2 linked regions of the Bombyx mori genome follow. The protein of the gene in region 1 interacts with the protein of each later gene in a biochemical or structural test. Links are inferred from orthologs where the notes say so. Each region holds a gene or a part of one and is shown on either strand. Other genes may lie near its edges.

What was found.
Region 2: the proteins of Cdk7 (region 1) and general transcription factor IIH subunit 3 form a complex in vitro, tested with the Homo sapiens proteins (2 studies listed by BioGRID). The link is inferred for Bombyx mori from reciprocal best matches to the Homo sapiens genes CDK7 and GTF2H3.

The regions. Positions count from the first base shown.
Region 1 is NC_085127.1:9,211,275-9,215,037, forward strand, and holds the start of Cdk7 (cyclin dependent kinase 7), read left to right. Parts: upstream 1-1,534; 5' UTR 1,535-1,682; intron 1,683-1,958; exon of another isoform or gene 1,959-2,285; intron 2,286-2,301; exon of another isoform or gene 2,302-2,498; intron 2,499-2,716; exon of another isoform or gene 2,717-2,839; intron 2,840-3,399; exon of another isoform or gene 3,400-3,546; intron 3,547-3,619; coding exon of another isoform or gene 3,620-3,763. UniProt on the Homo sapiens protein: Serine/threonine kinase involved in cell cycle control and in RNA polymerase II-mediated RNA transcription. Cyclin-dependent kinases (CDKs) are activated by the binding to a cyclin and mediate the progression through the cell cycle.
Region 2 is NC_085132.1:5,293,236-5,295,772, reverse strand, and holds the end of general transcription factor IIH subunit 3, read right to left. Parts: intron 1,075-2,537; coding exon 838-1,074; 3' UTR 617-837; downstream 1-616. UniProt on the Homo sapiens protein: Component of the general transcription and DNA repair factor IIH (TFIIH) core complex, which is involved in general and transcription-coupled nucleotide excision repair (NER) of damaged DNA and, when complexed to CAK, in RNA transcription by RNA polymerase II.

The sequences.
Region 1 (3,763 bases):
CTTTACCTATGGTGTAGGGTTTGCGTTACACAAGCGCAAGCACATTACAACGAAAAGGATTTTGTTACATTTGCACTTATTCCATTCCATTATTCCATTTTGACCGCACACTTACTAGAGGATTCTAGGCTAATGATTGCACACGATTGCTATATGGGCTAGAGACGCCTTTGTACAAAATATTATTAAATCTATACCTATAATAAAAATACTCTGTTGGTAATTCGTCGTATTCAATCAAGCAAGGAGTCAAGCAATCTACAGGTAGCCATTTTTTCACTTTTGGTGGATTTAGCTGTTCCTAATACGGCACTCCCACCATAGATATTTTCCTTTGGAGTGCAATGTTGACGTCGATGGCACAGGTTGGCCAGGCTTGATGTACGGTATATTTTTCTGGGAATTATAATAGTACGTACAACAAAAATGGATATACCATTTTTTAATATTTATATTTCAGTTGGTGATGACAATCTTCGAAATCAATTTAAGACTCGGTATTACCAAAAATTTTGTTATTCGTAGCATGCCAATAGCCCATTTAAATAAAAATGACAAAGTCTTAATATACAATTTACATCAACATAATATTTATGAGAAACTGAATTTGGCAAAATGGTTGCTATAAAAACTAAATACCGCTCGCGTTCAAACCCTAAATCCAATTGTAATTACTAACATAGATCCAAACACTGATGAAGCAATTTAAAAATCGCAGCCTCATACATCTCATTAGACGGCAATTTTATTGATTTGTTATTGACTAATATGGGGGAATAATGGGAATAAATAATGCATGGTCATCCGACCCCAAATTAGGATTCCCTGTTGATGGGTACCTGAGACTAATATACATGCGTAAATACATTTTAATAAACAACAAGACAAAGAGCAATCAAACCTGTCAACACACAAATGTTTGCCCGATGTGAGAATCGGACCCACGACCCTCGGCGCAGCAAACAGGGGCTCTAACCACCGAGTGCTTTATAAAAAGAATTTTCTTAAAATTGTAAATAAAACTAATGTGTGTTAGAAATAATCATGTTTGTATTGATGAAAACGAAAGATGCGCAACATATCGTATTACTGGTGGTAGGACCTCTTGTGAGTCCGCACGGGTCGGTACCACCACCCTGCCTATTTCTGCCGTGAAGTAGTAATGCGTTTCGATTTGAAGGGTGGGGCAGCCGTTGTAACTATACTGAGACCTTAGAACTTATATCTCAAGGTGTGTGGCGCATTTACGTTGTAAATGTCTATGGGCTCTAGTAACCACTTAACACCAGGTGGGCTGTGAACTCGTCCACACATCTAGGCAATAAAAAATAAAAAATTGTGGATGTTTGTGTAGGGGTGGTAGCCAAATATTTTGTCTAACGAAGGGGTCATTGTCGAAAAAAGTTTGCGCACCACTAATCTAAATATATCAGGCGTGCAGGGTTAGTAGAAGGTTATTGAAAATATATTAAGTGTATAATCTATGGTTATTGATTTTTTTCAAATAAATGGCCGCATAAAATACCATAAAATTGTTTTGTTTTTTTATTTATCCCGCAATGATTCTGACGCTAATAAAAAGTCTAACTAGTACTCTTAATTATGTATGAAAGTACTACATTCAAGGCTAGAAAAATATTGACTACTTACTTTTAAATTCACATGTTCTGTACAACATAACGGTGAGTGGGCTAAAATTTGACACTAGGCCTTAAAGGCCTTAATGACTAAAGTTAATAGTCTAATTAAATTTAGTTCAAAACGACATGTAACATTAATGAGCAATGTTGCTGTCGCCCAATTTGACTAATGGGGTCGAATTCACAATTGCAATAGAGACACCCCCTATCCAGACCACTTAAATGGGAACGCAGGTTGCCTAGGAAAAATAATATTGACCGTGAAGCTTCATGTGGTAGTATTTTCCTTACAAGGCTTAAAAATACAACGAATACCAACACTTTAAGGTTCTCAAGTTAGGAAATGGGGAACAGCTAGGTTAGATAAGTGTATAATATTAAATCCATCAAATTCTTAATAGACATACCATATACAGATATGTACTTTCAAATGTAATCAAAGAATCGTTTGTTTTGGTTTTTTTACATTACATTTCGATATCATGATAATAAACTAAAGACCTAAATGGAAATGTTGACCTACAATGTACATTTTAAGATAATAATTAGATTAAATTCTACCTAAAATCATCAGTAACCGTTTGTTTAAGTATTGTTCGCAGCTGTAGGCATTTTACTGAAATAATGATATTTTAAAATACGTAGGTATGTATCAAAAGCTTAAAATAAAGTGCAATTTGCAAAAAGTAACCTGTAAACTGAAATGCGCTCGTCATTCTTTTGTTGATTCCAAAATTTGCTGATTTGTGATAAAATTTATTGTATTTATTAGGTAAATATGTATGTTTGTGATTCTTCTAAGTACATTTATAATTTTGAGAATACGTCACAAAGAAACCGTTTCTGAGAATCAATGCTGATTTGGGTTGAGCAATAAAGTACGAGTGCCTTCTAGAAAAGTACAGCTATTTCTCTTTATCTTTGAAATTAAAGAGAAACAACTATATAGCTCGGTAAACTTCGTAAAGCTTCGGATGTTGTTCGGTTCGTTTCGGTTTATTGATTTGCTGCGGAATAGCCACGTATAAAAGGTTTGTCCTCGTTTCGCTGACGCATTAAAAGACCAGCGGATTGCAACGTGATAGACAAGCTTATAGTTAAAATAAGGTGTTTTTCTACTCCATTTTGTTTTATATAAAAAACAAAGCTCATAATTGTTCGACATACAACTGACAAAGCGAAATTATTGTATCTTCTAGGTGAGTACATTAATTTTCAAGTACATACATATAATTTTCATCAGGAGAACGCCATGTTTGTCTTTAACAAATTAAAATTTTTCTTGCTTTATCTTATCGATCCGTGTTTTTCATTTGCTTTTTGCTCAACATTTTGCAGAATATAAGTAATTATTACGTATGTGACGAAATGATGAGTCTAGTTGAAAATGCACAATAATTATGGTTTCATTGTTATGTTCTACAATATTTCAACAATTAAAACGTAATTAGGTCATAGCGTAAGCCTGCTGAGTTTTTCGCCAGATCTTCTCAGCTGGTCGCATATCCAGTGCGTAGGTTCATTCGTGACGCATCTGCCTATGTGCTATCAGGGTACCCTAAAAGGCTCGCTTAGCACTTAATAATCGATCCCCCTGCCAATTCAGCCATCGAGGACGTCCACGCGTCCTGATGGGATTACAAAGCACTCTCCACACCATACCACTCATAATAGCTTCATACAAAATTTAAAAAATATATATACTTACCTATTGAGACCTGAATCGAGAGACACCTACTCTAATTTTTAATAACAAAAATTTGTGTATATATGTATTTACTTGTAATTAAACAGTCATTCTTTTTAGTTTGAAATGTGGTGCAGCTGTATTAGATGGCAATATTCACATTGTAATGTTTATGCGACCCTGTAACCACTTTGATACTTGGTGATCTCATCTGCCCATCTGCAACAATAAACCTCTATTTAAAAAGGAGATAAAATAAAATTCATAAATTTTTCATTGTTTACAGATCATCATGCAAATCTTTGTGAAGACTCTAACTGGCAAGACCATTACATTAGAAGTGGAGCCTTCTGACACAATTGAGAATGTGAAGGCGAAGATCCAAGACAAAGAAGGAATTCCTCCTGATCAACAGCGTCTCATCTTTGCTGGCAAG
Region 2 (2,537 bases), on another chromosome or scaffold:
GTTCATTATCTATATATATATATATATTTCAACGTAGGCATATAAGTACGTTTATTAGCCTCTGGTACCCAGCACACAGAGGATCTTAAATTGGGGCAGTGTGACTGTGCGTTATTTGTTTCCAGTTATTATTATTGAGCGATTTTAAACTACCGTCAACTGAAGCCATGGCCTCGTGACCTGAGAGTTTTTTTCCCTACCTAAGCTGATAACCTTGAGAGGCTATTTCAGCGTAACCTTAACTAGTAGTAGGTGAGCTCACGGGGCTCAAACCGGAGTGATGCTAACACTGACCCTAGCAAGAGCAGTGCTTCACAGAATCTACCACCGGATTGGAAACGCGACCCAATGGAAGATCCGGCGAGAAACTGCGGGCTGTGTCTATGGGTTAATTCGCTTGTCGAGCCCTTCGTCGCAAGCGACTGGTTCGACGAGGACGGTGACCGGCGCTTGTGGTACCTAAAAGCACCGTTAATGGATCGGGAGGATCCGTGATGACGTGTTTTGGGCGACGTCGACTGTTTACCATTCGGTCTACAGCAGCGGTCGGGGAACCGGGGTAAATTACCCCAAATGGGGTAAAATGAAATTGTGGGGGGTAAAAATGAAACTTTTGTGAGTAAAAAGTATATATTGAAGTGAAACTTCTTTAGAATCGTTGTGATTTCAAACTAGATGAAACGAAATGAAAAAATAATATATTTTTTCAAAATTATTATAGGTCTATAATATGAAAGATGCCAAAAAGAAGAGATTTCTTTATTTTTTGTTCTTCGTCATGGGGCAACATCAACTTACACAAAAATATTTTTGGGTAATAATTATAAAGTTCTCCGACTACTGGTCTACAGGATCGGGTATGTAGTTTCCAGCGGCCACGACAAGAGGGTTCTCATGTCGTGCCGCCTTTTCAAAGTGCCTGAGAGTAGTAAACTCACCACTCAAGCAAACCGAGCAGACGTAGCCGATGGTGAGCAGTTCCCTGTGGCAGAAGCAGGCAGCGCGGTAGTCCACGCGGCCCCGCCCCGGCAGTACCAGTTTACTTCTCTCATTGGCTTCCGGCAGGAAAACCCACTGGAACAGCATTGTACTTAACACCTTACCGGTGGTAGGACCTCTTGTGAGTCCGCACGGGTAGGTAGGTGAAGTCGTCGTGGCCTAACGGATAAGACCTGCGTTGCATTCGTGTTGAGCGATGCGCCGGTGTTCGAATCTCAGGTGGGTTCAAATTTTTCTAATGAAATACGTACTCAACAAATGTTCACGATTGACTTCCACGGTGAAGGAATAACATCGTGTAAAAAATAAAAACCCCCAAAATTATAATTTATGTAATTATTGGTGGTAGGACCTCTTGTGAGGCCGCAAAGGTAGGTACCACCAACCCGCCTATTTCTGCCGCGAAGCAGTAATGCGTTTCGGTTCGAAGGGTGGGGCAGCCGTTGTAACTATACTGAGACTTTAGAACTCATATCTCAAGGTCGGTGACGACATTTGCTTTGTAGATGTCTATGGACTCCGGTACCCACCTAACACCAGGTGGGCTGTGAGTTCGTCCACCTATCTAAGCAATAAAAATAAAAGGAAGAGTGAGTAGGAGCAGCACACTAGAGCTCTTTAGAAAAGTTTGACGGCGAAAACGATTTCCGATTTATCGTTTTATTATATATAAAATAAAACCATATCTTCGGTGGATACGGTCGAATTTCGTTCAACAAATAAAAATTCGATTAACATTCTATCTATATATATATATATACAATACCGTCTTTACAATAAGGGCACACGGGGCCCGTGCCCAGGGCCCCCATTCTCAGGGGGCCCCGAAGGACCGACAATTTCTCTCACACATTTATTCTCAAAACATTTTTGTTGGGCACATTACACTTTTTTCACAAATCAGTAATCTTATCAGAATGTATTTATAAGGCATATATTACGCCATTATATCGATGACTGCGCCTATTTCAACTGTACTAATTAATAATATTTCCGAACGCATCCTACCTAATTTACTGAGTACACCATCTAGCGATCAAGATAACGATTTCCGTTATCGTGATCGTAAAACCAAAAAACCAGCAGCATTCTAATATCATTAATGACACATTATATCATACCGTATTTGATTACCTATAATAAATGGTCATACTCAATAAAAAAATGTTATTATAATTCGCTTTTTTTACTTTCCAAAAGGGCCTCAAATTCTTGTGCGCTCAAGGGCCCCAGCCTGATTTAAGACGTCCCTGTATATATATATGATAGAACAAAATGCGAATGAAGGCGTACACGCGATAACAATATCTGATCGTATATCGATTGAGTGCACATTCGTATGTCCGCGGGTTGTAGTATTACCGATCGACCAGTAAGTACTGCAGCCTTAAGAGTACATAATAATAATATAATTATTTTATAATGATATTTAATGAAACTATGTTTTTAGTTATTAGTGAATATGGTCGAATTTCCTTCGACAAGCGTAATAATAAATAAAAATTCGACAAATTGCGAACGAATTCGTACACGCGATA